2 linked regions of the Notamacropus eugenii genome follow. The protein of the gene in region 1 purifies or fractionates together with the protein of each later gene. This does not show direct contact. Links are inferred from orthologs where the notes say so. Each region holds a gene or a part of one and is shown in the gene's direction. Other genes may lie near its edges.

Region 1 (15,844 bases):
GACAGTCTACTCTATGAATAGGGGACAAGGAAGTTGTGGAATAACCAGTAGCCATTATGTTGATGTGAACATTGATGTGGCATCCCAAGGGAGGTGTTTAAGTTTCATATTCCTAAAAGTCACATGATTTCTAGGAAACCCAAATTTAGATGTAACCATCTACTAAAAGCCTTTTGTTAAGCACTGAGAAGTCTTCACTAACTTCATTCCATTCAACATTGTCTGCTATTTTTTCATTCCTTTGTCTTTGTTTTCTAATTTCTTGATTTTTCATAAGGTCTTTAGCTTCCATCTGCTCTATTTTAATCTTTAAGAAATTATTTTCTTCAGTGAGCTTTTGGACCTCCTTTTACATCTGGCCAATTCTGCTTTTAAGGGCATTCTTCTTTTCATTGGCTTTTTGGATCTATTTTGTCATTTGGGTTAGTCTATTTTTTAATGTGTTATTTTCTTCAGCATTTTTTTGCGTCCCATTTAGCAAGCAATTGACTCATTTTTCATGATTTTCTTGCATCACTCTCATTTCTCTTCCCAATTTTTGCTCTACTTCTGTTACTTGATTTTCAAAATCCTTTTTGAGCTCTTCCATGGCCTGAGAACAATTCATATTTTTCTTGGAGATTTTGGATGGAGGAGCTTTGACTTTGTTGTCTTTTGTTTGCATGTTTTGGTCTTCCTTGTCACCAAAGTGAGATTCCATAGTCTGATTCTTTTTCCTGTTTTTGCTCATTTCCCCAGGCATTTACTTGACTTTTGAGCTCTTTGTCAATATAGATCTCTGTTTCCAGGGGAGGTTGGGAGTGTACTGTCAGCTGCTTGATTCCCCCACAATTTGTGGGCCTAGAGTTCTAGAAACAATCGCTGCTGCTGCCCCTGCTGCTGCTGCAGCTGCCACAGGTTCCTCTGGCCCCTCCCCACTCTGCTACCCTGGGTCTGGGACCAGAGCACTCCACTCTCCCACTCTGAGTCCAACAGGCTTTTCCCAGTGACCTTCCAATTTGTCCTCAGTGTTTTGGGGTTGTGAAGTCTGGAAACCACCACAGATGCGAGATTCAGTCCCCCTGACACTTACTCAGGTCCCATCTCTGGGACCAAAATTGTACCCATTTTACATTTGAGAAAATTGAAGCAGACAGAGGTGAAGTGACTTACCATGGTCTGAGGCTGGATTTGAACTTGGGGCTTCTTGACTCCCTATTCCCAGTACTCTATTACATGATATACAGTTTAGTCTAAGTTCACTGTTTAGAGTTATGCACCTCTTTTGGCCTGACAGAAAATGTTTCCTATATACAGCATATTATGGGGTTATGATTTTGAACCCACCCTCCAACTGTAGCACCAATGCCATATTCATAGCACCTACAGCAGTCACGAATATCCTGGCACACTTCTGAATTGTGAAATACAACAGACTCTCCACAGGAAAGACAGAACCAAAACATTAACTCAGACAACGGAAAGCCAAGTCCATCATAGTAACAAAATCTGTACACAAGAACAAAGCAGAGAACAAGACCATCCCCAAGCCTTCTCCTGCTAGGCATCCCACAAACCAGCTTCCTTACACAAATCACAAACAAGCTCTTTCACTCACACTAGCTAGCTGGCTGCTTGCTTGCATCCTTCCTGGCTCTAACTGCTCTCTGACCAACTTCTCCTCAGCTCTACTCTAGCTCCTCCTGTTCCTCCCTTCCTGCTGCACCCTTTCAGCCAACTCCTCCCTCCACAGACTCAAGTCACTTCCATGTGATCCGAGCAGGTCACATAGGCTTATTAATGAATGGAAAAGATCTTCCCAATTAAATTACCATTATACCAACCCATTTTATATTTATGGAGTAACACTGTCCCACTTACATTTAATATTTAAATGGTTGGATGGGACTTCGACCAGACCTGGCATTTCATCTATAGAGTGAAACTCCCTCTGCCAATATATATGAATGTACATTTGCAACCATTCTGCAAGTCATACCCTTGGAAAGTTTTCTAAGGGTGATTCTCTAATTCAGTGACTCACTCAGGGTCACAAAGACAGTGAGCATCAGAGGTAGCACTTGAACCCAGGTCTTCCTGATTCATAAGCCACCTTCCTATCCACTATATCAAGCTGCTTCTCTTTGTCATCATTCACTTTGTTGGAAGGAAAGCTAAAATTTTTACATTATAAAATATGTAAATAACTTGATCTCTACCCAGTTTTCCATTAATACCACCACTCTCCAGGCTCTTTCTGGTTCATGCAAAAGCTTACTGAAATTCTTCAGGTTATATGGCAAGAGGAGGTTATCCCCCACGATTTCAAGGATGCTTCCATTGTCCATCTCTACAAATGTAAAGGAAATAGGTTGTCCCGTTCCAATCACAGAGGGAGTCTTTCTTAGTCATTGCTCGCAAGATTCTTCCCAGAGTCCTCCTATTTGATTATCTACCTGAAAGCCAGTGTGGCTTCAGAAAGAGCCAAGAACAGTTGATATGGTGTTTGCTGCCCAACAACTACAGGAGAAATGCCAGGAGCAGAACAGAGGTCTGTACACAACGTTTGTAGATATGACCAAGGCCTTTGACACTGTCAGTTGTGAAGGCTTGTGGAAGCTCATGGTAAAATTAGGTTGTCTGGAGGTGTTCATCAGTACTGTATGTCAGTTCCATGACAGTGTGCTTGCTTGGGTTCTAGATAATGGATGATGTTCTTGTGCTTTCCAGTCACCCATGGAGTGAAGCAGGGCTGTGTGCTTGCTTCCACACTTTTTAGCGTGATGTTTGCTGCTGTGTTGTCAGATGCTTTCAGTGAGGACAAAAATGGCATTAGGTCAGCTACCAACTGACTGTAAATTATCTAATTTGAGAAGGCTACAAGTCAAGACTAAAGTGGAAGAAGAGTTGGTGTTTGACTTTTTGTTTGCAGATGATTGTGCACTCAATGCAGCCTTTGAAGCTGAGATGCAACAAAGTATGGATCAATTCTCTGCTTCCTGTGCTCATTTTGGCCCAACAATTAACACCAAGAAAACATTTCCACTAGCCAGTACCACATCATCCATACATGGAACCATTGGTTACAACAAATGGACAAATATTGAATTCTGTAGATAAGTTCACTTACTTTGGTAGTGTACTTTCCAGGGATGTACATATTGACAATGAGGTTGATGCACGCATTGCCAGAGCTAGCTCAGTGTTTGGGGGGCTCCAAAGGACAGTATGGGAGAGAAAACGTTTTAGTCTGCCTACTAAACTGAAGGTCTACAGAGCCACTGTGCTGACCTCATTGTTGTTGGCCTGAGAAATCTGGGCAGTCTACCAGCACCATGCCAGGAAACTGAATCACTTCCATTTGAATTGTCTTAGGAAGATTCTGAGGATCACCTGGCAGGATAAGGTACCAGACATTAAGGTCCTTACCCAAACTGAACTGCCAAGCATTCAAACTCTACTACAGAGAGTACAGTTCCAAAGGGCTGGCCACGTGTTTGAATGCCAAAAGTTGTTCAAATGCCAAATTTATATTTGCTAAAAGACTTTTATGAAGAACTCTCACAGGGCAGATGTTCATTCTTGGTCAGAGGAAGTGATACAAGGACACTCTCAAGGTCTCTTTTAGGAACTTTGGAGTTGATTATGTGACATGGGAGACACTAGTATAGGATCACAGGACTGCCCAGCACAGTGTGCCCACATCAGAAAGGGTGTTGTGCTCTATGAGCAAAGCAGAATTGCAGTAGCTTAAAAAAACCCACCAGATATGCAGATTTAGAGACATCACCACTCTGAATGTTCACATGGACAATTTGTGTCTGACCTGTGGTAGAGCATTCCAAGCTCCTATTGGTCTGATCAGCTACAGTTGGAGTGGACACATTGTAACTTGACCCCAACATAGTGATGTCATTTGCGTTCTCTGTGAGAAGAAAGGACAACAACCTACCAGCCAACCAACTCTTCTCCCTGCCCCTCCACCCCGCCCCCTCAGGGAATTGGGGTTAAGTGACTTGCCTAGGGTCACACAGTTATTAAGTACCAAGTGTCAGAGGCAGGATTGGAACTCAGGTCTTCCTGACTCCGGGACCAGTGCTCTCTCCACTGTGCCACCAGCTGCCTCTTGCTCCCTACCTTTTAACAATATTAAGAAAACACTTTAAAATGATCCTGCCTGAAACCTTGGGAATAATCTGAAAGAGAACCCTCCTCTATCTCTCTCAACCATCAATTCCAGGACCAGAGAAGAGCCAGGACCCTCTGACTGATTTATCTAAGAACAGCTCGCTTTTCCCCCATGCCCTGAAGGTGTTAGGATAAGGGTCAACCCTAAGATGCTGCTTTGATGACTTCAGTTAATAGATTACTTGAGTTACTTCAGTTCATTTCACCTTTGGCCAGCTGGCAAGGAGAAACCTTGGAGGGAGTGGTCAAAGAGGAGATGAGTGGTTTAAAGAAATGATTCTCCAACGGTGAACTATTGTCCCATTTAATGAAGCACCCTGTTAACTGACCTGTTACCCAATCTTTGGAGCCTTGCTCAGTTTTAACTGTAGAATATTCCTCTGTTAAAAATCTCTGCCATTGGGACTTCAAAATAGAAGAGAGATGTGTGCTTGAGGTCCTAACGACTTGGGCAGAGTGGATATTTCATTCTCAAAGCAGATCAGTGCTTGCAGTTGAATAATTGGAAAGCATCATTGCCAATTTTTTTGATTAACTCATCAGATTAGATAGATCTGCATTGTTTTTTACTGTTGTGCAGCTGATAAAGAGCTCTTAGCAGACATAGGAGAAATGTCAGCTCTTCCATTGTCTTTCTGTAAAGGAACTGGCCTCTCTGGCCTGAGCCAGTTGGAAGCCAGGAAGGCGTGGCTGGCCAAGGATCCCAGTCCTCACAAGTGCAAGTGGAGTGCCCAACTCATGCTGTTCCCACAAGGAATGTGCACCGCACCTAGTAGGTGAACTAGAGCCCCTCAGGCTGGCTTTGGCTGCATCAGACTCCAAAGGCACCAGGTGGATTTCATGTTCGTCTGATCTAGGGGACAGACAAGGGCCAAGGTTGAGTCCTGCACCCTCCCCAACCATGTGGTCCCTGAAGGCAGATGTAGGCTTTTGCTCATTCCTTCTAGGTGACCTGAGCCAGTGAAGGTCCAGAAGCAGAGTCTATGCAGCTTTGAGGCACTGACCAGGGAGCTGAGGCCAGGGAGGTGAGCACTGGGGACCCATGCACTGCAGCAACCCCACTGTGGATGAGCGCGGTCCTTGGGATGGGGGAGAGTGAACCCCTGAGGTACAGGGGAAACCTGCCATTTCCCTTCTTGCTGTATCTTCAAAGCAAATATCCCTTCGTCAAAGCTAATTGAAGTTAATCGGTTCAATAGACTCAAGGAGAGCCTCTCTTGAATGCAACCCCAGTGAATGGAAGCTCTGGGCTACAGATTTAGAAAAACAAAAACACCTCAAGGCTTGGGGTGCCCCAGGACCCTGAGGGGGAGTGTCACCATCCTAGCCCAGGCCTGATTGGCCTCCCTGAATCAGACCTCCCCCGAAAAAGTCCCTTCTGAGCTCTGAGGTTTGCTGCCTGGAGGACTGAGGAGAGAACTTCAGGACACAGCTTAGTATCAGATTTTTTCTTTTTTCTTTCTTTTTAATAATACTTTGTTTTTCCCCAATTAAACATAAAGACAAGTTTTAATATTCATTTTAAAAAGTTTGGGGTTCCAAATTTCCTTCTTGTTTTCTTCTTCCCCTCATCTGAGCAGGTGAGCAGTTTGGTAGAGGTTATACACGTGCACTCATGCAAAACATATTTCCATATTAGTTGTTAGAAAACAGACCAAAAAAAAAAAAAACAACTCCCCGAAAAAATTAAGTGAAAAAGAGTTTGCTTCGGTCTGCATTCAGACTCCATCAGTTCTTTCTCTGGAAAGAGGTGGACAGCATTTTTCTTCATGAATCCTTTGGAATTGTTTTGGATCATTGTATTCCTGAGCTAAGTCCATCCTAGTGGATCTTCCAACAGTGTTGCTGTTAATGTGTACGATGTGGTCTTGGTTCTGCCCGCTTCACTTTGCATCAATTCATGTTAGTCTTTCCAGGTTTTTCTGAAATTATCCCAGCAGTATTTTTTTAAAAAAATAAGTTTCTATGGCTATTTTCTCTTTCTTGCCTCACCATAGTATCTCACGTGTCTCTCCCTCTCCCCCTTTCAGAGAGCTATTCCATATGACAAATAGTATTTTAGGGGAAAGGAGAGCTCCAGCCATGTGTGAGACCAGGGGACCTCCACCAAGAGGCAGTCTTCTGGTCACCGTTCATTTTGGATTTTTTGGGAGGGGTCATTCTTTGCGCTCACCTTGATGGAGTCGCCCAGTGCCTGGGTGGCAGGGCTCTGATGACCGCTAGTCATCTTCTCCGCTCCTCCTCTGCCTTCCCGCCCTGGAGTGGCACTCGCTGCAGCATCCTCTGGGACCACAATGGGTGGGCCTGAGGCTAGGCCCTTCCCAACAGATGGGCCTTGACTTTGGTCCCAAAGTTCCACAGCACATTCTCCCCTGGGAAGAGGATCGATGGGGGGGAGCGGTAAATGCCCGTTTGCACAGGCTTTGTCCTTGCTGTGGGCTCCCAGGAAACGCTCCTAGGGAAAAGCTGGCAGATTCACCTCCCCAAATTCACCCCCAAACCAAGAACTCACCCCAAAGGGTTGCATAAATGCTGCGCTACTATCTGTTGGGGAGACCACGGCAGGGATGGGACAAAGGGGTCCATCTCCTGGCGTGAAGGACTCTGAGCTGTCCAGTCTCCCCCCTTCCCCGTCCCCAGGACCCAAGGGGGCACAATCAGGCCAGGACGTCGGACTGAGGGCGCTGTACACAGCAGGCACCTAATAAATGCCCACGGACTCACGGGAGGCCAGGAGGTGTCAGGAGCTCCAGGAAGAGTCGGGACCAAAGCAAAGGGGGGGGTCTCCCTAACTGTCCGCCGCCTCGGGGTGGCTGGTGGGCAATCATGAAGACCCAAAGAAAGGACCAGACAGACCCTACCCTCAAGAAGCTCCCAGTGTACCCCAAGATATCCGGAGAACCAACCGAAGGAGGCGGTACCAGACGGAGGGGGCGGGACTCTATGCCTCGCCCCTCCCGAGCCCTGCCCCCTAAAACCCCGCCCTGTTTCGCGGGGGGCGGGGCTCGTTCTCCTCTTCTGAACCCTCCTCCTTCCCTCGAGCCGTGTGCACCCGCCTACCAGTCGGGGGCGGGGCTCACTTCCCTTTCCCCTCCCTCCCCTCCCCTCGGGGCGTGTGCGCCCGCCCTCCAGCCCAGGGGCGGGCTTCTTTCCTCTCTCCCCTCCCTCCTCCCCCTCCGCCCCTCGGGGCGAGTGCGCCTGCCCACCAGCCCGGGGGCGGGGCTCATTCCCTTCTCCCCTCCCCCTCCGCCCCTCGGGGCGAGTGCGCCTGCCCACCAGCCCGGGGGCGGGGCTCATTCCCTTCTCCCCTCCCCCTCCGCCCCTCGGGGCGAGTGCGCCTGCCCACCAGCCCGGGGGCGGGGCTCGCTCCCCTTCTCCTCCCTTCACCATCCGTCCCTCCTTTCTCCTCCCTCCTCCCTCCGCCCCCTCCCCCTTCTCCCCCGCCTCTCCCCTCCCCGCCCCGCCCTTCCCGGCTGGGCCCGCGGCCCCGGAAGGAGGCAGGCGCGGCGGCAGCGGCGGCGGCGGCCGAGGCGGGAGGTTACGCACCGAGGCAAGACGTGGGCCCCGCCGCGGGCCGTGGGCCGTGGGCCGTGGCCGGCGCTGGAGGCGGGGCCGCGGCGGCGGGTGGGACGAGCCCTCGCTGCCGCGGCGCTGATCCCGAGCGACCGTGACCGAGACCGTGACCGTGAACGGTGAGCGGGGCCTGGGGGGCGGGAGAGGCACCCGCTCGGAGGAGGGAGATGACAGCCGCCGCCTGGCCCGCAGCCCGGCCTCCCCTGGCCCCCGCTCTGCGCGAGCGCTTATTAAGTGCCTGCTGTATGCGAGGACCGGGCGGCGTCCGCCGGGGCCCTAACGGAGCCCTGGCTGCGCTATGGATGGGGGCGTGCCCCGAGGGGCCGCCGGGCGTGTGGCCCCTAGGGCGGAGGGCTGAGGTCCCCGGTGAGACACTCCGCCCCCCAGCGGCGGGGCCTTGAATGCCGGCTTCAGTGGGACCCGGGCAGGAGGGCCCGGCGCTCCCCCGAGGTGGGGGGCCCCGGGCAGCTTGTCCCCCCACCGGTCACCTCAAACAGAATACGGGACCGAGCTGGACCTTGGGCAGGGCCCCGGGGTCAGTGACCAGGGTGCGAGCCAGGGCACCGATGGCAGGTGGAAGGTGTGAGACTGTAGACAGTCGGTGCTTAATGCTTGGGCTCCTGTGGTCAGTCCCATGTCTGTGGAGGCGCTCCGGGACCATAGCCGAGCCAGGGTCAGTCTGACCGGAGCCATGGCTCAGGCCGGGTCAGTCTGCTGTGGCCGGGGTGGCCCGTCCGGGGTGGTTCAGCCTGGCTGGCCCGTCTTGGGTGGCCCGTCCGGGGTGGCCTATCCTGGGTGGCCAGGCCTGGGCCCAGCGCCTGGGGCTGGGCCCCTTCCTGGACAGTTCTGGCTCTCTTAGCTTACAGAAGCAGCACCTGTTGCTCACACTTTCAAAGGCTTGGAGGTTTGGCCTTAATCAGAACGGAGGGTCCTCAGGAGAAGCAGCCCCAGAGAAAGGCCTGGTGGCTGGCTGAGGCCTGTCCTCTCAGAAGGAGCCCACGGTCATTGATGTCAGGTCCATCTCAGATAGAGAGATGCCGAGCAGATGAAAGGGGTGGACTGGGAAAGAAGGGGAGTCTGGGGGAGAAGGGCAACATGCAGGGGAAAGAGGGAATTCCAGGTGAGTCCTGCACCAGCCACCTTCGCTGAGTCAGGCGGGATTTGAATGCAGGTCTCTCTCCAGCAGGCCAGGAGGAGGGATGGGAGAATTGAGACCTCTCCTCTGGTGTCCTCTGCTCTGCAGGCCAAGTTTGGGGTGCGTTGTTTGAGGAGGAGGTTGGGGTAGTCTCCAAAGGAATGACAGAAGTGGATCCGTTTGTTTCAGGACAATTGCCTGAATATCTTAGGAGTGAAGATTGAATCTAGGGACTGTGGGTGATGAAGATCCACTCAGTGGACTTCTATTGAAAAAGCGTTAAGCATCCCCCCTGTCAGGCCTCGCCCTAAGCACTGGGGATAAAGACAAAGACAAAAAACAACCATCCTTCCCTACAGGGAACTTATACTCTAGTTGGGAGAAAAAGCCTTGATATAGAAAATCAAACATAAACCATGTAAAGAAGAATTAAAAAAAAAACCAACACAACAATTTCCAGGGAGGAGAGCACAGGTCTAATATGAAGGACAATTCTGTGTTTTTTTTAAAAATTACTTTTATTTTTTTCATCAACTATTCCCCAATTACATGTAAAAAATTTTTAACAATCATTTTTTAAAATTTTGAGTCTCAAATTCTTTCCCTCTCTCTCCCACCCCTTCTTCCTCCTTGAGAAGCAAGCAATTTTATTTTGATTATACGCTGAGCTCATGCAAAGCGTATTTCTATGTTAGCCATGGTGTGAAAGAAAACACATGCACACACACACACAGAATAAGAAATCAGGTTAAAAAAACAAGTCTGCTTTGATCTGCACTCAGAGTCCATCCGTCTGTGGAGGAGGAGAGCCTTTTTGGGATTGTCTTGGTCCAGTAACAGAGTCTTTCACAGTCGCTAACTTGCAGTGCTGCTATTTCTATGCAGTGTCCTGGTTCTGTTCGATTTGCATATGTTCATATAAGTCTTCCCAGGTTTTTCTGAAGCCATGAAGGACAATTTTGTTAATAAGAATAGGTTTTCTTTTTAAAAAAATACTTTCAAGTTTAGCTTCAATAAGAGATCATTTTCATGTACAAAGGCTAGAAAAGGGGGGAGTGCAGAGGAATGTGAAAAGTAAAACAGAGAGTGGGAGGGAGACCTCTGTCCCGGTAGCCTTGAACATGGGGTCTTTACTGTAGCCATGGTCAGATTCTCCAAGAAAGTCAGGAAGTGGAGGAGCTGAAAAGACAGATGACTGAGGAGGATCCTGGGGCCTGGCTGGGAAGTCACAGGCTCTCATTCTCCGGTCCCTTCAGCTCACACTAGTTGTGGAAAAGCAGTTCAGAGAAACGTTTCTATGAACTTGAATTTTCCTTGTATTATTAGCTGCATTGTTTTGGATTCTGGAAGAGCTGGGGCCAAACCTCCTGTCTGCTGTGTGCTTCCAGAGTGCCTCTGGGCAGTTCTCTCTTAATTAAATCACAGGTCTGGGGCACAGTTCTCCCCCTAAGAAACAACTCAGACTCTTTAGAAGATTTTTTAAATGAGTGTATGGCAGCGTCTTTACGACCGATGGAATTACAGCCCTCTATGGAGGAGTTGGGTCAGCGAAAGCATGAACAAAGTATGCAAGGCTTGGGGCATCTAGGGGGCGCCATGGTGCTTAGAGTCGGGGAGACTCCTCTTGGGGAGATCAACTCTGACCCCAGACACTTGCTAGCTGTGTGAGCCTGAGCCAAGTCATTTCACCCAATTTGCCTCCGTTTCCTCACCTGTAAGGTGGGGACAGTAATGGCACCTATCTTCCAGGGTGGTGAAGATCAAATCTTTGCAAATAACGTGTTACACAAGTGCTATTGTCGTTGTTATCCTGATTTCCAGAGCAGTGGTCTGGACAGGTCTGCTTTTGTATCTGCACAACTAAAATACCACAGAAATCAGCTTTGGTTTCGTCCCTTCCCACCATATGGAATCCTGGAATTGGAAGACAAAGCCCCTGAGGAGCTGAATTTTCTGGACAACAAGGTTGGTTATCCAGCCTCTCCTTCGATATCATTTTACTACCCTTATTGGAGTGAAAACAACAAGAAAAAATGCACAGACAGGTGGAAAGTCTCCAGAAGACACCTGACATTTGGCAGAGTACAATTCTTTTCCTTTGTGACCAAATGGAAGACGTCTTGGCTGTTGGAAGGCTGCTAGTGAGCCCTCCATGACTGTCCCCCCCAGCTCTGCCCCGGCTCCTCTTCTACGATGGGGATTCCAGCTAGCTGCTTCCCAAACTGCCCTGTTCCATACCATAAGAAGACATGCCCAGTCTGTGACTTTCAGAAGAGCCAGCTCTTGTGGCTAGATGTGCCCCATTCGGGCTTTTCTCCATCGTCTTCTCTCCATGGCCTCTTAGGACTGATGGGGCCCACTGATTTCTCCTAGCCTCGGCCGCCAATTTCTGTCTTTGCCCGCATTGCCTTTGATCATTGTAAATTGCCGGTAACCTCATTTTAATGTGCTTTTCTCTAGGCAGTGGAGAATTGGAACAGCTCCTTGGTGGGATCACTGGGAATCTCATGAACCAGTCTGCATTCTCTTCAAGAGAAGACAGGCATCAGTTAATTTTTATTTAATTCTTCTCCCATGATTTAAGGGTGTGTTCCCTGTGAGCTCACAGAAGTAGCACTTTGGGGACATATGCCTGTGTCACCTGTAACCTGTCAGGACAGACTGAACCAAAGTCCAGGGGACCATTTCATATTGGGAAGTTTAAACAATGATTCTTTGGTAAAGTTGACTTCTTCTCTCATTGTGTGTGCACAGAGCCAAGCACAGAGTGGATGCCTTCTTGTCAAGCACTTGCTGGTAGGTTGGTGGCTGTGTGGGCCTGTGACTGGGAGCCCCTCTTGCTGTGATCGGGCAGATGGCCTTTTTTGGTGACTGGTGACGTTTAGGATCAGTCCAGTACTGCGTTTTCTTCATTACGCTGAAAATCAGAGAGTTTTCCTTCCTTCTTCCTCCTGGGGTTCTGTACTTTGTGCTGCTGTCTGCCTGGGGAGATCACACACAAGAGTTTCACGGTTTGTTTTGCTCTAGTTTTTGATGCTTCTGCCCCGATGAGAAGCAGCAGAGGCAGAAAAGGGGCAGCTCAGATCAGTGGGGCTGACCTAAACCCCAACCCCATTGCAATGAGACTCCGCTTTCATGTCTGTGATCTGCTAATGGGGTCACCACTCAGTGGCAATGCCCATAACTTCTGTGCTTTGTTTACTCCAGTTCTTGCCCAAGGACCTTTTCATGTGCTCCGGATCCAAGATTGCCTAGTTTGGGGTGGCCCAGGTTTGGGAGATAGGGCTGACCCTGTTAGAACCAAGGGTGGGGAAAACCAGCTGACAATCAGAACCTTCCACTTTTCAGAAGGCTCAGTGGTTCCCTTTCATCATTAGGGGCAAGTACCCACATCTCTGCTTGGCATTGTTTGACTGTGTCCCCTTTTCCAGGGTACTTTCACATGTATTTAAGATTCCAGCCAAAGTTCGACCTGCAGAGTTCACTGTTCCACAGCGCATACTAATAAGGGCTACCAGTGCCTTGACCCCAAAGCACATTACACAGTGCTTTAAGGATAGCAAAGCACTTTACATCTTCCTTTTCTCATTTCATCCTTACCACACCATGCTAAAGTGAGGGCTTTATTATCTCCATTTTATTGATGGGAAAACTGAGGCAGACCTGGCCAGGAGACTGGATTTGAACTCAGCTCTTCCCAACTCCAGGCCCAGCAGTAGCCTCCTTCAGCTCATTCCATTTTACAGGCTGCCCTCCATGCCTGGCATGCTCTTCTCTTCCCCTCTACCCTGGAGATCCTCAGGCCTTCGCCTCAGTGACCCCTCTTAGGGAGGCCTTCCCCATGCTCTGCGTTCTCTCTGCCCACTCTGGGCCCTGGCACTTAGGTATTGGTGAGCATTTCATTGTCTCTGGCCCCAGGGTTGACGACTGTCAATGCTTCCTGAAGGCTGTGTGTACGTCTCGTACGGAGGCCCCAATAGAAGGGCATCTTCTTGGGGGAGGTAGAGCCCGCTCTGGTGACAGATTGTTGGAGTGTATTTGTCCCTGCCTCTCCTCGGCTCTCAATCCATACTGGACACCCCATGGCCTTCCTGCAGGATGTAGCCTGAGCTATAATTCCTCGCTTCTCTTCTTTTAGGTCAACTTTAGGGACTACAAGCTTTGTGTGGGTCACTTAAGGTGACACTGGTGGGGCACCTCCACCGTCCCCAGTCAGCATGTATTTATTAAACCCTTCCTCAGTGCCCAGGACCCTGCCAGGCCTCAGAGATACAGAGATGGAAGAGAAATGGCTTCTGCCCTCAGGACAGTACCAGGGGCAGAGTAGAGGTCCTGTGATTTCCTGGATGCCAGGACCTCCCATGGTAGGGCCTGAAATCTTTCCTAAACACATGCCATCTACTTTTCGCCCCATTGCTCTGGCCAGGATCCAGGACACCCTCTGTCCTCTTTGTAAGATGCTGCCAAGACGGCCCCTCTTCACCCTGCCCTTCTGTCCTAACTGGGAGAGGGGGCTCAATTCATACATCTCCTCATCTCTCCCAGCCCCTCCTGAGCCCTCTTAGGCCCCCCTCAGCCTGCCTTTCTACTCCCTTTTGTGTGTTGTCTTCCCCCCATCTGATTGTAAGCTCCTTGAGGGCAGGGACTGGCTCTTCCTTTACATTGTTCCCTCAGCTCTTAGCAGGTGCCTAATTCATGCAGGCTGACTCAGGTCAGACCTGTGCTGGGCTCCTTCATTTGGGACTGGGACCATCCCCAGCTACAGGAGGGGAGCCATGAATCTTCAGCCTTTGCTCTAACTCTTTATAACAAACATCAGAGACCTCGTCATTGTGGGCTCTGAGATGCCCAGAATCCTCTTGAGCTCTGCTGGACAAGGGCAGGTTTGAAGCAGGGTGAGCCTCCCTAAAGGCAAGCCTGAATGTGAAAAAGACCGAGTTAGAAGCCCACTGTTTGTTTTCCTGAGGCACACAGTTGGCGCCACTCCGGGATTCGGTTGTTGAGATGTGCAGAGAGGCACCCGAAGAAGGGAGGCCTGCCTTGTCTTGGAGGAACTGTGCAGGAGTTTTGCCAGCCTGACTCACGCTGGCCATTGGATCATTCCAAGCTTTGTGCTTGAAGTCCAACATGTTGGGCCAAAACTAATTGTCCTTTCAAAGTTAGGCTTCTGTTTTCGAGCCCAGGTTTTCTAAACAACTGTTTAGAACCTAATGTCCCTGTAATATTCCTGCCTCCTCATTGTCCCAGCAACCAAGAATAGGATTTCTTTGCATTCACCTGGGCTTCCAGAAAGGAGAAAAATTTCAAAGATCCTACACTAGGTCCCAAGATTAACTTCACAAGTACAGGAATGGCAGGGGGTCAGGTGAGCAGCTGCTATCACTGCTTGCTGGGAGTCAGTTGGGTGAGAAGGCAGCCTTCTAGACTCAAGGACATGGTGATAGGCTAGCTGCTTGTCCTCTGCTCTGGTAGGCCACATGCAATCAGTTCTGGGTCCCTCACCCTGAGGTCTTAGAAACCTCAGTGACTCTCAGAGCCCAGCCTGAGCGTGCTCTTCCACCCTTGAAATGACCTTTTACATATTTTGTATGAAAATGGCTGATGGACCTGTTTCTCCCCCCACCCCACAGGCAACTATTGGAAGCCAGAGACCACTTGGTTTTGTTTTTTTGTACCCTCAGTGCCTGGTGGCATGTAGTAGATGCTATATAAATGCTTACTGAGCTCAGAAGAGGGCAGCACCTGGCATGTGCAGGAGCCTTGAGTGCCAGGCTCATGGTGATCAGTGGAAGGAACAGGAATGTTGATAATCCCCCCTTCCCCTCACCCCAGAGTATGAATGACCCCCCTGTGGAAGAAAGAATGGATGTGTTTTGTTTGTCCCTAGAACAGGAATCCTGAACCTAGGGTCCTTGGACCTTGGATATTTTCAGGGGCACCAGAAGTTGGATGGGGCAATTAGGATTTTATTTTCACTACCCTAATTGAAATTTAGTTTTTTCTTTCTTTTTTTTTTTTTAAATTAATTAATTAATTTGTTGTTTTTCATTTTTAACATAGTTCATATCACATAAAACAATTCCAACTTTTGGTCAGGTGATACTTCTTTTAAAGCATTTACAATAGAGACCACAAATGAATTTTTTTTTACATTAACCAACTGAGACACAAATAATAACTATGTGTGCTAACTTCACAAGCCTTGACCTAATTGTCTCCACACTGTTACTGAGAATTAAAGGACCCTAACTTATTGTAGTTGGTCTGAAGTCCTACGCCTAGTAGCTTAATTTTAGACTTAGCCTCGGATGTTCCCCTGCCAACAATCTATAATTTAATGGATCTGGTATGAAGCTTACAAACCTTTTGACTATAGGAAGTTGCCACTAAGAGTAGGCACACTGCAGGGAAACAATATCTCCCCAATTTCATGTCAATTCCAGACCGGAGTAGATTGTCAGCTTGCATTCAGTCAGGCTTAAAGTCTGCCAAGTGTCAGTGAGGAAATTAGTCAGGAGAATCCTACCTCAGCCCAAGCTGAACAGCCGCTCTCCCGCCCGTCCCATGAGATCACCTTTTGCAGTTCATAGCAGCATCGCACAGGCTTACTGGCATCATGGAGTGGAGGCTCAGACCACCTTTCTTGCTATCCATACCTCGAGTTAGACTCAGAAGAACAGTTAGTTAATAGTCCCATAGAATCTTAAAATAGCAAGTTCCAATAACCAGGTTTCAGATGTGACTATAATTTTGCATTGGTTAAGGAACATCTTTTGAGGCAAGTCTTAAGTGGCTTCCATGCCTTTCTATACATGTTCTAGTTCCTGATTAAATTACAATCATAAAATCAAATTTACGATTAAAACCTTAACTTTTCCATGAATGCCAAATTTTACCCAAGGTTACCTGCCTCTAGAAAACTTAAACTAAAATTCTTTTCCCCAAGCTAAAGATATCTCTGATTTAGTC
Region 2 (16,212 bases), on another chromosome or scaffold:
GTCCCCAGTAAGTTATAAATGAGTTCCCTATCTGAATTGGTGGATAGAGTTTCCACAACAAGAATTGTCAGAGGTCTGGATCACATGTACATACACACACACACACACACACACACACACACACACATCAATGGAAAATATCCCTGTTGTGTCTCTGCAGAATATATTTTCTGTAGTTACTCAAAAAGATAGCAATGGCAGTAATCATTTTATCTTTGTAAAAATTACATGCAGCAATGTCCATTCTAAAATTACTGATCATTGTGATCCAAAGTTTAGATTTTATCTCCTTAAGATAGTGATGAAAATAGTTTTCTTCAGCATTTTTATCACACAATATTTAATGTCTTTGAGATATGATGTTATATTTACTCCATGGTAGCCTGGTACTGATTGACAACACAATTTTAAAAGGTTCTTATTCTAGATATCTACCAAAAACATCACTTTCCTATCTCAAATGGCATTGCCATGTGTCATCGATTTTTTTACATAGACCTTTACAGGAGTAAGCACTCTTTAAAACCTACACAAATGCACATGTGTGTACAAACACATGCGCTCATGCATGCATATACACACACACACTAAATGTTTTCATTTTTTGTCCCTACTTAGATTGTCAATCTAAATTGACATGAGGGACTTTATTTGCCCCAGAGTTCCCTACACCAGTGAAATCACAGGTCCAATCCCTTTTCCTATTCCTTAGATTCAACTTATTTTCCCTCTTTGTTCCTCCCAGTTCAGGAGAATGAACAAGGTAACATGTACCTCACAAACATTTTAAGCTCATTGAATTAAAGCTGAAGTTTTAGCTTTACCTTAATTTGATTTTTTTTCAGATTTGTGACACAAGTTTAATGTTTTTAGACTTCATTTTGCAATTCTTCACCTAGGTTTCTAATTAAATATGCTCAGGACTCCATTTAGAATTGGCCATTCTCTGCATTCCTCTTGATTAGTAGAACAGAATCAATGTGAATTGATCCAATTTGTAGAACACAATTCTCATATTGATAGTGGTTTATATTCATTTGCTTTGCCCTAATCTTTTATTAATGGTCGTCCTGGAAATGTCATTCCCTCTGTTGCTCAAAAGCATTGCAGTCTGAGATATAAAAGGATCATTGGATCAAAAGTTTAGATTTCAGAGGGAGCTTAAAGATACACTGGTTCAATTTCTCATTTTATAATTGAGAAAACTGAGGCCTAAGAAGGGGACTTGTCCAAAAACACAGAGACAGAAGTAGAGTTGGAAATAGAACCCAGGTCCTCTGTATTCAAATCTAGTTGTCTTTCCCCTCTGCCACATTAATAATATTAATCTATCAAAGAAATAGATTAGATGCAGAATATTCTGCAACCAAAATAAAAGAAAAAAAAGATGTGTACAAATGTGAATATAGATATAATGTATCTATAATGTGTGTATATGTAATGTATCTGTGTGCACATGTATGTATTTATAAAACTGTGTAAAACAAAAATATAGATGAAAGATGAAAATTACAATAAAAAGGTCATCTCAACTGTCATTATTTTTTTAAAAATAATAAAGACAGGTCTCAATTAGTGAGGATAGTGAATTCTACTGTTCCCATAATTCAGATTCACACTATCCAAAGCTATAATTATATATAAAATATGGTCATTAATTCCAACCCAATAGAAATATGAAGCAAAGATTCAAATAATATGACCACTTCATCAGATTCATTCATCAGACTAATGGGGACCTCACTGCAGATGTTGCTGCATGCATTCCTTAAAGTAGGTCAGGGGATTTTTTTGAGGGAGGAAGGCTGTTTGTTTTGAGTCTAGAAAATTGTCACAAGAGGAAAGTTTATTTATGGACCTCATAGAACTACAGTATTTTAGAGGTGCAAAGTATCTTAAAGATCATAAAAAGATGGTATGTGGTTATAATGGAATACTATCACACTGTACAAATCATGAGCTGGATGATCTTAGAAAACCACAGATAGACATATAAAATAATGGTGAAATGAGCAGAACCATGAGAACACAATATACAGTAACAATGATATTGTTTCAAGAACAGCTGGGTAGGGCTCATGATAGAAAATGCCATCCACATCCAGAGAAAGAATTAGGGAGTCTGAATGTAGAGAGAAGCAGGTTATTTTTGTTTGTTTGTTTTGTTTTTTTGAATTTGTCTTGGTCTCTCCCATTCATGTTCTACATAACATGAGTAATGTGAAAATATGTTTGATAGAAATGTATAGGTAGAACCTATATCAGGTTGCAGGCTATCTTGGGGAAAGAGAGAAAATTTGAAGCTTATGGAAGTGAATGTGGAAAACTAAAAATAAATAAATTAGTTAAAATTTAAAAATGAAAAAACAAAAGAAAAAAACAAAAATAAAAACCTTGTAACAAAAAAAAATTTTGAGTGACTAAGTCATTTTGTCTATTATAAATACCCAAATTAACTACCAAAGACATACAAAGCAAGACTATCTGAATCCAGAAAAAGAAATGATAAATAGAAGTATGAATAGAATGATTTTGTGTGTGTGTGTGTGTGTGTGTGTGTGTGTGTGTGTATCTAAATATATCTATCTCTAGGGCGGGAAGGAGAGAGGTAAGAAAAAAGGGGAAGAATGAAAGTTACATGGTAACTTTATTATATATTTAAAAGGAATAGCTAATTGTTCACCATAGAGTTGACCAAACAGCTAATTAGGATCAGTGATTGGAAGAAACAGTCCAGTTTATTTTTAACATGCTATAGGAAGCTTCAGGAAATACATCTTCATAAATGTAATAAAGTCACAAAATCTCATATTATCCTAAATAGTATTGTCCTTTGTTCTTGAAGAGGACCAAAGTGACATCACTATATTACAGTCAAATGACAGTGCGTCCACCTATGACTGATCATACCAATGCAAGCTTGGAATGCTCTACCACAGGTCAGGCACAAATATGCCATATGAACATCTGGAGTGGAAATGACTCTAAATTTGTGTATCTCACTTTTCTTTTGAGCTACTGAAATTCTGCTTTGCTCATGGAGCACAGACCTTTCTTTGATGCCAGCATCAAAGCCATGCTGAGCTGTCCTTTGACAGTGTCTCTTATGCCATGCAATCAATTCCAATGTTCTCAAGAGAGATCTTGAGAATGACCTTGTAATGCTTCTTCTGACCACCATGTGAGCACCTTCATAAAATAGTCTTTTAGGCAAGTGTACATTTGGCATTCAAATAATGTGACCAACCCATCAGAATTGTCCTCCCTGCAATACAGTTTGAATGCTTATTATCCTAAATATGATAGAGAGACTATATAGAATTCAGACTGTAGAGAACACAGAGAAAATAATTATACTGTTTCAGGTCTTATGCTAATAAGTTTGAGTTTTATGAGATTCCTTTAGATTTTAGGACATGAGCAGATAGTCACCTAGCCAGGCTCTCAAACATTTCCAACACATCACCTCATGCTCTAACCTGCTATGAAAATTCCTTTGCAGATAACCTTCAGAAAACAACAATACCAACTTGCTACTATCTAGACAACTGAGGCAAATGAAGATTATGTTGAGTTCTAGAAGGCCTGGGAAAGGGAGGATCCTGAAGTTTCTAATCACCTGCCTACAGCAGCAGACCTATTTACATAAATTGATACTTTACCTGGACCCATTTCTCAATGGCCCTCATATTCCCTCTAATTCTCCTAATCTCAGTGATATTTAATACACTATTGTTGAAGAAAAATCTCCTTGCCCTACCCCTATTCAGAATGCAAGGCATTTAAAGTCTGGTTCAAACTTCCTCTGTCCCTAAGACTTGCTTTCACACTAGAACATTTCAACATACACGTTGATGATCTCTCAAATACTTTATTTCCCAGTTCCTTAGACAAACTCAACTAACTCCTATGACCTAATCCTTTTAGCTACATGCACAGATGATCATACAATCTTACCATCACCCATGTGCTCCACTTCCATGTCCAAGAACTCCATAATTCAATTTTCTAGTCACAATCTTTTATGATTCCATTTCCATTTTACTTTTTCTAAACATATTCATCATCCACTCCATGACTGCTAAACCTTCTCTTGCTCAATACTTTTCATAGATATCCTTACTGTGATGATATTCCCTTCTCTTACAAATCTTGACCTATTAAAAAAATAAACTGGGAAGTCCAAACCTACTTCCACTCTTGAATCTTTTATTCCACTGTCTATCGCTGCTGACACTTTTCCAAATCCAACACTAGATTATTCCTATCATTTGCTTTTTTTTCCTGTTCAAAAGGTTATTAATGAAGGTGCTTGCTGAAGTCATAAACCATACTGATTGAGCCCATTGTTAATATATGCTATTTAAACTCCCCCTGGGATCTCATTGCAACAAAGCAAAGCTTTGACACTTCCTTTACCAATTCTGAATCTCAGTTATTATTGTGACTGCTCCAAACATTCTTTCCAGACCTACACAGAAACAGAAACTCTCTCTCTCTCTCTCTCTCTCTCTCTCTCTCTCTCTCTCTCTCTCTCTCTCTCTCTCTCTCTCTCCTCCTCCTCCTCCTCCTCCTCCTCCTCCTCCTCCTCCTCTCTCTCTCTCTTTGTGTCCCTTTTTCCTCCTCTCTCTCTTCCTCCTGAATACTTCACCTCATGCTACACAAAAGAAGTCATTTGCTCTTTGCATTGAAAAGAGCTTTTTGCTTTCTTGTCATTTGCCAGTGCTCCTTCTGATTTCTTTCTCTTCCTCTCACATCCTTTTTATATCACTCCCTATGTCTACCTTCATTTTCATCTCTGATAGCATTTCTCTTTTCCAAGGGCAATCTTGCTCCATATCTGGCACGGTACATGTAAACATTTCTATATATACTCTTCTATGCTGTATCGAGTGATCCTGAGGTAGTATGATTATCAGGGATGTGCTTTGACCTACTGCTCAACTGAACCTGGGGTATTTTATTACAAATTATTTTGTTGTAAATGATAGTATCTGAAAAATTCTCTTTTCATTACTTTTCATTATATTAGTTCCAAAGTCTAACCCAGAGGTAAAAGTTACTTTACGTGGGACATAGTAAAAGTTATTAATTCACGAGATTCTCTTGGCTAAGAATGACCCAAGGCATTTTCCTGCCAAATTTTACTTGTCTATTCAGGCTGGTTAAGATTCATTTCTAAAATCTGGACACATCAAGACTATACACGTTATAGAGAATTGCACATTGAATAATTCTTTGACTCGTTAAGGTTGTCTATCTATAATCTAATGCTGACAAGCATTATCAGCATTTTCTGTAACTGAAATTAAAGTAAACCGTTAGAGTTCACTTATAATCTAAATGCAATGAGTCAAATTTTAATTTAATTTAATTTGTTTGGCAGTCAATAGTTGAAAGAACTGAAAGAGACTAGAAAATTGGGAAAAGAAAGTGCCTTCAGTTTCATCAATAAACAAAAATTATAAATGCCACAATGCTTTTATATACTTCTAGGAAAGAAGAATTTATCTTAAATACTTGTGTTTAAGCTTGTTGAACACTGAATACAAAGGAATAATAGCAAAGCAACAATACTGTTTCTTTCTGAATCCCATGGAAATAGATGAAAAGGATGACAACATGATCATCACCATCATTGCCATATGTATACCACCTTACATCTTGCCAATGCTTCATGTGCATTATTGCATTTAGTTCTAAAAACAGCTCTGATGGGTAGTACATATATTGTACTCATTTTACAGATTAAGAAAGTGAGGAACAAAAAGAGATTAAATGACTTGCCCCAAAATGGCTGTTAATAATTGACCTAGTTGATTTCAAAGCTAGGATTTCTGATTACAAATTCAATATTCTTCCCACTAGACTATAGCAGTCTTTATGAAGTATAGCGTGACTAATGGCTAAAAGACAATTCTAGACATATAAAAATAATTTTATAAATACTCATTGATTACCATTTCTCTTTTTTCTGTTCCCTTTTCCAGACTATGATCATGGAGTAAACTTCTAAATAACTAGGGTCAAATGAAGGACTGTAGGAGAAAAATCCAGTTTTTAGTGGGTCTACACAAGTTGAATTCATATCTTAATTAATTTAGCTGTAACCTACCTCCTCCACTATTGTTACAACCACTTTATCTTTGGCTGGGTACAATAGCTTGGCAGTAAATATAATGAAACAAGATAGGAAAAATGTTTGTATCTGATTATATTTTAAAATTCTATAAACTTATTTAGTTTCTATTAAATTTACTATATTTATATTTAGATAATTTGAAGTTTATAAATGCACATATAGGAAACTGTCCCAGAATGGTCTGAAAGTTGCTTTTCCTTATATGGTTTATTTTCAATTACAAAAATGACTAATCACTGTGAAAAAAAGAATGCCATATATTAACTTTTAAACATCTGAATTCCTGAGTAAGTAGTGTTTGCTCCTTTAAAAGCCACATTTAAATGAACACCTGCCATTTGTCTTTTTAAACCAAATTCTTCTATTTGGATAGTCTGCCCACCAAGAATACTTATTTGTGGCATAACTATGCCAGTGAGATCCCTAAGTACATGCAAAAGAAAAAAAACTCACTCTGCTTTACTGATGTGATTTAAAACTCAGGCCCAATCAGCACATGCATACAAATAAGTTACTAATCTGAAGGGGCAGACAAGTCTCTGCACTGACTTTGGGTAGTTTTTTTTAATGACATCCATAATGTTCACCATTATTGAGATTAAAAAAATGAATGGACTTATAAACATATTTTTCTCGGTGTCTGTCCTAAACACAGATGTAAATTTCTTTATTATTGTTAGCATTACTTACATCAAGTAAATTACATGGCATGGGCTAGAGATAGAGATATTGACCAGCTAGAGTATAGAAAGTGGATTTGGTACATAGCATGTTTCATTTTCTTCTGAATACATGATGAGACTCTTTAAGTGGTTCAGGGGGTAAGCCAACACTTATAGGGACCATTTAAAAATGGAATGGCATTAGGTATTTAATCTTTGGACCTAAAATGAATTTCTTGCTTAATGCTTTTAGAGAGGCATTAACTAGTTTTACATCCTGCCTTATTGAAAAGAATCATTTCTTCCACAGTGAACAGCTGTGCTTCCTCCTCCAGTGCTTAGAAATCCTTGTTAGATATTGTGTAAGGATTGCAAGGAGTTCTTCATCCTTAATGATCAATTATTTACTATGTAGTTCTCTTTTTAGTAAGATGTGTGCTTTTTTTATCAGATCTAAAACCTCATATCAATAATGCACCTATCTATATTAATTGTATTTATCTGGAATAGTAGATACATTGTGGCTAATAATTGGGCACTGAATAAATAAAATTTTGGTAAGTTTTGAGCATATGTACTTTCTTTACTCTGGATATTTGATTAGTTATTTCTCCTCTGAAATTTTAAGAAACAAAAAATGAGTTTGCCAGTTTAAGACTATTAAGGAAAAGCACTCCAAACATACAAGAACAAGCAAGAAAGAGAAAAGAAATTATTATCTTGTACAAACTTTGAGCGCTGTGTTTTGATTTTACTTACCCAAATTAATTGAAAACTTCTTACTCAAATTAAATGAAAATTAACATCCATGCATTAAGCTCAGTAAATATATGGAGGTCCCTTAAAATATTAAACTCTTGCCTTCTCAAAGATGTGATCTTGCCCTTTTTCTCTGTGCCTTCTGAAGAAGGTATGTCACTTTTATCAGCCCTTCCTCTCATTTGACAAGACACTGTTTCACTCACACTTTTAGACCACTATCCCCTCCCTAAAAGAGGTAGTCCCCTGAGTCTGTAATTGCCAGGAGATGAAGCGATGATAGGGAGTGATCACAGTCAATAGCTTTGATTAACAATAAGGTAGAAAATTAGCAATGCTAGCATTCAGCTAGACTGCCTTCTCTTCCCCATATGCTCCCCACAGCCTGTGCTGACTGCTGCACAGGAGGTAGTCGGAGCCCTGCACAAGCTTTGAGTTACAGCAATGGTGCAGCAAAAGACTATTAGGGGAATCCAAGAGTGAACTGGAAAAGGCTATAGAAATTATAAATGATGGCAGTGAAATTTTTCCAGAGTTTGATATGCCACAGAAGATGTGAGGATGAAGTATGCTGTATGTTATCCCTGTGTGTCTTTCTGGTCTATGTGGATTTACTTGTGTCTGGACATATTGTGATGGAAATGGCAACTACTGTTACTACTGTGACCCCATCAGCAGCTCTGGTGTTGTTTCCGACAGACTCTGAAGACCTAGAGAGGGGGACGGACAACGGGACACCACTCCCCACCTCTGATAATGATGACAATTCGCTGGGCTACACAGGTAGAGTGTATCTTTCCAAAATATTAATAGTCCCATCTCTCTTCAAACTTCATCAGTCATCAACCACCTGTATAAAATTATTTAAACATCCCTACTATTAATAGCTCCAGCAAGAAATTGTGCTGTGGTACTCATGCTTTAAAATTCATCCAGTAACCTGGAAATAATGATGCTGAAGGAAACTATTTAGAAAAACTACAAATGAAGACTATGTTTATTCTTACTTAGCATTTGTTTTGGTTACTTGAAAAACAAATGATGATCAGGGCGAAGGTTTTTTACTGCAAATATGTTTGGGAGAATAGCAATTTGCAACATCATGCAAACCTTTGAATAAACTGGAGCAAATAAGAAAAAAGAAAAGTTTATATTAAGAATCATTTGCTTTCCAATCAAAGTCATCTATACATTTCTTATTTATTGCACTGCTTACTAACATCTTAATATTGTTCTTTGCATGACTAATATATCCTCTAAGTGATACCATATCCATGAACCACTTCTTAAATATATATGTACACAGACATACACATATGTACACACGTACATAACCAATTAACTCACTAAGTTCATTGAAAAAAGAACTAAATGTCTTTAAAATGAACATGTATGAAAGTGATATGTTTACTTTTCTGTGAAGTATTTTTCAGTACAGTGCTAAAAGTGAATGGGAAATAAGACAACCTTCCTTGTTAATTTAGATATGGACAAGCCACAAAATGTAACTTGTAACTAAGTGCATAATTCAGAAATAATACTATCACAGTCCTATTGTTAGTAACAAACTGTATTTAATCCAAAATTACCTTGTTGTACTTTGCAGAAGTACTTCTTGGAAGGGTTCTCCATAGATTGGATAGCAATGAGAGAGATAAATGGCCATTATTAATATTACTACTATTATTCTGGTAACCATATGAGGTAAAGAGAGAAATACAATAGTTGAATTTTACTTGAGAACAAAATAACAGTATTATTTTACAAACATCTTCATTCCCTTCATGGAAACATTATTTCAGTATCCCTCGAAAGTTGAGGTTTGAGTCACTTGATGTCATGATAAAATACTTCACATATTTCTTTGTGTATACTTTTTTCCTTCTCACAGAAATCACCATTTCTCATCCTTTTTTAGTTTTTCTCCCAAAACATAAACTGAATCTTCATTTGGGGAGTACATTCTGCAGGTCTTCAACTAGAATCTTCAGAAGTTCTAAATTCTACTTCTTAATGTTATTATTATAAGATAGGTTCATATTGATAGAAGTACAGATCAAAAACTATTATTCCTTACACATATTTTGAATTTCCTATATATTAGCGTAACTAATTTGTGTTCTTCTATTCAGAAAAACTGTATTATCTAGTCACATTCAAAATATTTCTTCTTTCGCTGTTATGGGATGTCCACAACTTGCATGTGGGCAAGGTAAAACTGAATTAAGACAACTTAAAATTGTATTAAAACCTAAAAGTAACCTTTTCTTTATTGCTATTAATCATTTATTCTTTCTTGTCATTCCATTTAGTTCACTGAAATGGAATCAATCAGTTATCAATATTTATAATCTTAATACAAAGAATAGATTTATTCCTTATAGGTGATGAACTTATGGAACTATTTACTCAATATTCTGTCAAGTGACTTATTTAAAACAAGGCCAATTTAATGCAATGTGATTATAAAATAAAGTTATAAATTACCCTGTATCTGAGGCCAGTAATTACTTATGATAGGCCAATAGTAAAAAAATGTTTATTGAATTTATACTACCACAGTCAATTTTCAATTATTCAGGGACTGATTGTTCCAGAGTAAGCTGGCTATACCCTATCTTTCTCCTTCTCTTCCTTTCCTTTTTCTCCTTTCTCATTACAACCTCCAAAAGAATAGAAAGTGAAATGAAATAGAGGTTAAACTTAAGCTGCTTTCTTTCTTTTTAGAGGGTAGAGGAGTGGCACTATCCCTTACATGTGATAAAAGTTGCAACAAAAGATACAGAATAGACTATGAGATGATAGCGTTTTGTACAAGTAGTTCTGACTTTCTATAAATTTTCTTTCCTGGGAGAACTCTTTTAACTATACTCACAAATGATTGAGTTGGCACTCTCTGTGTAGTACAGACTGTATAATGGCTCATGGACAAGAGTTGGGGATAATTAACAGTATATATGGTTGGTGCATTGTTAATTTTTTAAAATAAGAATGTTTTTAGCAAGTCACCATGTATATAGAAGCAACATATCTCAGTGTTTAAATTTAAAGTTTGTAATGAACCAGCAAATACACAAACAGTTGTTAGATCTCTGATATTAGTTAGCCATAATGACAATGGCTCATGAAAACTAATTTTTAAAAACATAGAAATTCTGCTTATGCTCCTGTATTTCTAAAATAAGCTTGTGGAACTTCCATATTTTACCTTCTTTTTTGTAAACATTCTTCCTTTCATAAATCTGACTTCTGAGGCCTTTCTCACTGTCCTTCTCCCCCAAAGTCCACCATAATGGTTCACAGAGTCCAAAGGCAAAAATAAAAGCCTCCCGGAGGTATTTTTACAAGCTAAGACAAACATCATCCCAATCAATGAAAACCTAACAATCCCCAAAAGAATAATTTCCACAGTTTGCCAAATTCTGTATTCATTCTGACCAATTTTCCTTTTAGCCTCATCACTAAAAGTTTGTCTTTTTCACATATGTTTTTCACTACAACACATGCTATGGTCACCAAGCTACATATAACCATGACTATCAAATTTATCCATTCAGATAAAATTCATAATAAGCACATGACTTCATAATTACATATAAATGTCTTGATTCTTTACATTAAGGTATTAATATGCCTTAATCAACACATGTCAACTTATAAATTGAATTCTTCATTGCTTTTGATCATAATTTTGTAGTAATATTTATAGAAATTTCATCAGTGTTTACATCGTGCCTATATTTAGGTGAAGTGCAAGGTAGAGGGACCAGAAGGGTAATTTTTGGTGATTTAGAATAGGAAGTAAAGATTGATTTCCTTTAAGGACTTATATGACCTGATGCTGAGTGAAAGGAGCAGAACCAGGAGAACTTTATGCACAGCAACAACCACAGTGTGTGAGAGTTTTTTCTGGTAGACTTAGATTTTTGTAATAACACAAGAACTTCTGAAAAAAAAAAAAAAATCCCAATGGTGAACCTCAAGGCAAAAAGCCTTCCACACTCAGAGAGAGAAATATGGAAGTCACTCACATAATGTAGCAGATCATGTTTGTGTATGTGTATCTGTTTGTGTATCATGTTCTGATTTGTTATACGGATTCTTTCATTTATCTTAGTCTGACTACATAGCATGACGATAGTGAAAATATACTCAATAGGAAAGTATATGCAGAATCTATACAGAATTGTATGCAGTCGTGGGGAGGGAGGGAGGTAGTGGGGGGTGGGTGGGGAGGGATAAAATCGCAATTGTATGGCAGTGATTGTTAAACATTAAAAAAAATAAAAAAATTAATAAAAAAAAAAAAAAAAAAAAAAGATTGATTTCCTTCCCCACATACACACATAGCCATCATCCTCCCACCACCTACAAGTATGACTCTCTCAAAGCTGAATGGCATTAAAGTGTTGCAGTATCACTGAGTAGTCAGTGATGGCAGACATTGCTAAGATGATGGCACGATGTTGCTGAAGTGTATTTGAAAGTTATCTAAAAACAAGTAATATATTTCCTAGCTGATGGTTCACAGAATACAGCTTCAGGTGCAAAAACAGATAACTTTTTAAAATGTTATTTTATAGGATCAAGATCATGTTCCAAAACACCCATAATAACTGCTAATCAATGGAGATATTTTAAGAAGTCTTTTTTTTAATAGCACATTGTTTATAGATTGCTACTAAGCATACATATTTACCACATAGTTACAACTCATACAACTATGAGAGAGGTGAAAGGTGTGAATTTAAATAGTGAGATGTTTAAATGTCAGTAACATAGCTATATTTTCTTTACAGACGACCTTCAAAGCTTTTCTTAAGAGTATTGAATTCAAGCTGATATTGCCATAGTAAGGAAGAAAATACTAAAGAAAGAAAGAGAGAGTCCTGATATCACACTACCACAGTGGAGACATATACATAGAGCCTCAAAATCATCAGCCTACAGGATGTCTAGAAATCTCAGAATGAAGCATTATAGTTGTCTATTACTGTTGAGTTCTCTCTCCTTCCCCACCCTGAACCCCTGTCACCCCTGCATAAGACAATATGCCTGTTGGTACGGTAGGCATTTGTTTTAGGGAGATAGATTGTACTCCTTACATGTTTCATACTAACTAAACATTTTAGGTTGGATTAAAATTTCTATTCATCCTGCTGCTGCTAAAACTTAGAGAAATGTAATTTATGTATAGCAGAAAGTCCTAGAAAGTACCCAAGGGGGAAAAATAAATTAGCCCATTTGGATAATCCATAGAAAAGAAAACACTAAATTTACCTGAGTAAACAAGAAGACTCAGGATGATATTGAGCTATTGAAATATCAAGACGTCTTGCTTATGATTAATAGGAGTGATACTTGACTATTGTACCTATGATTTTATAGCTATAAAATAATGAAAATTATTTACTTTAAAGAATTTGAATTTTCTCTTCTGAAAGTAAAAGCAAATTGAGCTCAGACTGATTTATCTTTCATAAAAATGGAAAAGGAGCATGTTTTAAAAAATCAAGGCCTATATATAGAAAATAACATACTTTATGCTTATCTTTACAAGAAGATTTTAGTCAATGCATTTCTTTGCTCTTATGATTATTAATAATATCTCTCAAAAGGCTATAGAATACCAAATAAGAAGCTACATTAAACTAATACATTTAAGCCACTTGGCAAAAGAGGTATACCAAAGGAAAAATCAACTTCACTTGCTTTATTTTTAAATGACTAAATTAACATTCCTCACAATGTAGTTTTCTGGGGGATATCCTCATTAGTATACAGGCTCTCCAATGATTCAATGAGTAAGAGAAATCGAGAGTTAAAAGCATCCTCTGTAGACATATAGTCAAATCCGTATGAAAAAGGCTTCCGCACTGTAACATACCTGGCATGTGCTTGTCCAGGCTCAGAAGACTGACAGTGAGAGTACCAATCCCTACTCCAAGTGGCTCCTTCCACTCTTAGCTCTAATTGTTAGAAAGCTTTTCCTCACATGAAATCTAAATTGGCCTCTTTGCAACTTCCATGCATCGTTCCTGGTTCTGTCCTCTGAGTCAAAATGGAAAAATCTCTTCTCTCCTCCACACAGTAGGCCACTAAATACTTGAAGGTAGAATATCCACCTTAAGCTTCCCCTTCTTGTGCTAAATATCCTCATTTCCCTCTGTAACAGTCCCTTCCCTGGCCCCCACTCCATAAAAGTCAGGTATGTTACATTTCACTCCTCCTCCAGGGTGCGCTAGTATTCTTAAGGGGGTCTAGACTCTTCTCCTGCACCCAGAAGTGAAAAAGACAAACAAAGTAAACCAAAATCCCAAAACTAATTATTGGGGCCACAGAGCCTAAACAGAGAGCTGAAAGATGACCCTTCCCCCACTCCCACCCACCTTAGTATATAGTACCCATACTGTGGGTGAACCAGACTTGAACCTCTAAATGCAGCAGTGGAGAGAGTTTGAGACTGTACTAAAGACACTATACAGCTGATGGAAATATACCACTCCCACCCATATGGTAAGGGAACACAGGATTTATGTTCGCCAAAGCAGGTCCCTTGTATCTCCCATAAGGATACCTCCATCTCAGTTGACCTGCAAGGTTCAAAACCTGATTACTCTTCAATCAACTCTTTTATGGCTTGAACTTAAGACCTTGACCAAAGTGTTCTCTTCCCTCTGGACACTCTCCTGCTTATCAATATTCAGCTAGTTTGCAATGATACAGCACTGTCCAGCTAAAACCAAATCAAGACATTGCTACAATTTAGCATAAACAAGGCACAATGGCTTATGATGGTCAACTTGTAATACATAGGTTTCCTTTTAGATACAACATTTCTACTTCTACATTGATTTTTTTTACATCTTAAGTTCCTGCTTGCTGGCAGCAGGCATACAAAGACATTAAGTCCTTAAGTCAAGTTGAGAGTTGAATTGATGGATTAAGTATGAATCAAAAATATTATCAATGCAGATTAAAGAAATAAATTTAATCCACTTCTCTGTACTCTCATTTTCTTCTTAAACATTTAATTTAAAGGGAAGCATTAGACGACAATTGTGGGAATAGCCAAATGTATAACAGGGATTTAGGTACTGTTTGAGACCATCTAAATGGCCCTCAAAAAGTGCACTTACCCTCTTGGGAAAATTTAGTGATGTAGGGATGATTATTATCAGTCAGTCAATAACCATTTATTAGGAATGTACTCTGTGTCAGAAACTACACTAAGTGCTGGGGATAAAAGTAAAGTCAAAAGCACAGTCCTTGCTCTCAAGAAGTCCACATTCTAACAGGTAATGCATCATGTAAATAATTATATATCTATAAGATATGTACAGTACAAATGGAAGAGGGTCTCAGACAGAAAGAACTTAGGACAAAAGAAGAATATCAGGAAAAGTGCCCTGCAGAAGGAGGATGTGTGCTGAATCTTAAAGGAAGCCAGAGAAGCTAAGTCAGAGGTGAGGAGGGAGAACACTGCAAGCATGAAGGACTTCAATGAATACAAAAGCAGGGAGTCAGAAATGGAGTGCTGCGTCAGAGGAGTCACCACTAGGTCAGGAGTGTATAAGGGTAGTAAAGTGCAAGAAGACTAGCAAGAGTCCTGGTTTGAAGACAACATGGCAAGTTATTCCCTGGGCCTTACAGCCACGGAGTCAGGCTGTTACATTTCTACTGCACACAGCTACGTGGCACAGTGTATAGAAGGCAGCACTTGGAGTCAGGAAAACTTGAGTTCAACTCTTGCCTCAGATACTTGCTAGCTATGTGACCCTGGGCAAGTCACTTAACATCTTTAGTCCTTAGTTAACTCATCTGTAAAATAAGGACAACAAAAGCACCTGTCTCACAGAGTTGTTGTGATCATCAAATAAGTTAGCATATAAAGTGTTTGGAAGCTATAAAGTGCTATACAAACGCTAGCTATTTTTATTATTATATCCTCTTTGGGATCATGGGATATCCCCCAAGGACTAGGGTGTCTTTGGTTAATACCATAGGCTCAAGCCCCCATTTTGTTAATGATCATTAACAAGCATCTCATTCTCATTTAACTACTTAACATCAATTAGCTTTTTAAAATGTTATTTATTTGGAAGATATAAGTGAAAAACAGAAAAGTGCAAACATTTCTCCCTCTACGCAACATTTCAAGGCAGTGTTCTCCATGACACTACATCTATCTCTGAGGAAAGTGGGCCCTGACTTAAAGTGGTTTCTATTTGGCATTGATCCCACCAAGTTCATATCCAAATTTGGCATTCCCACCTGCTGCAAAATTCGGCATGGACTTCACTCTCACACCTCAGATTTCCAGACTCCTAGATGACTCTCTCTTGATCTTTTGAAATTCAAGAGGTAGATTCCAATTTCCTTCACCAAAAACAAACAAAACACCAAGGCAAAAGCCCAAGGCCCATTCAAAGGGTCACCAATCAGCATTAGACAGGGAGTGGGTTAGAGTCCTCTCCCCTTTCCACACAGTCTCTCACCACAAGCTGTTTAACAGAAAGACATCAACCAAAGAAAGTCAAAACAAAAGGGAGGCAGAGGCCAAATAAGACCTTTTGCATGTCTCCCTATGCTAGTTCTACAACTATAGCCATTCAAAAGAACCTACTGTCCATCACTTAGTTAGCAGAC

The links.
Region 2: the proteins of USP33 (region 1) and ROBO1 purify together in Homo sapiens (affinity purification with western blotting; 5 studies listed by BioGRID and IntAct, with this or other methods). This does not show direct contact. The link is inferred for Notamacropus eugenii from reciprocal best matches to the Homo sapiens genes USP33 and ROBO1.

The regions. Positions count from the first base shown.
Region 1 is NC_092873.1:538,961,517-538,977,360, reverse strand, and holds the start of USP33 (ubiquitin carboxyl-terminal hydrolase 33), read left to right. Parts: upstream 1-7,620; 5' UTR 7,621-7,859; intron 7,860-15,844. UniProt on the Homo sapiens protein: Deubiquitinating enzyme involved in various processes such as centrosome duplication, cellular migration and beta-2 adrenergic receptor/ADRB2 recycling.
Region 2 is NC_092877.1:178,223,383-178,239,594, reverse strand, and holds the start of ROBO1 (roundabout homolog 1), read left to right. Parts: upstream 1-8,060; 5' UTR 8,061-8,072; coding exon 8,073-8,346; intron 8,347-16,212. UniProt on the Homo sapiens protein: Receptor for SLIT1 and SLIT2 that mediates cellular responses to molecular guidance cues in cellular migration, including axonal navigation at the ventral midline of the neural tube and projection of axons to different regions during neuronal development.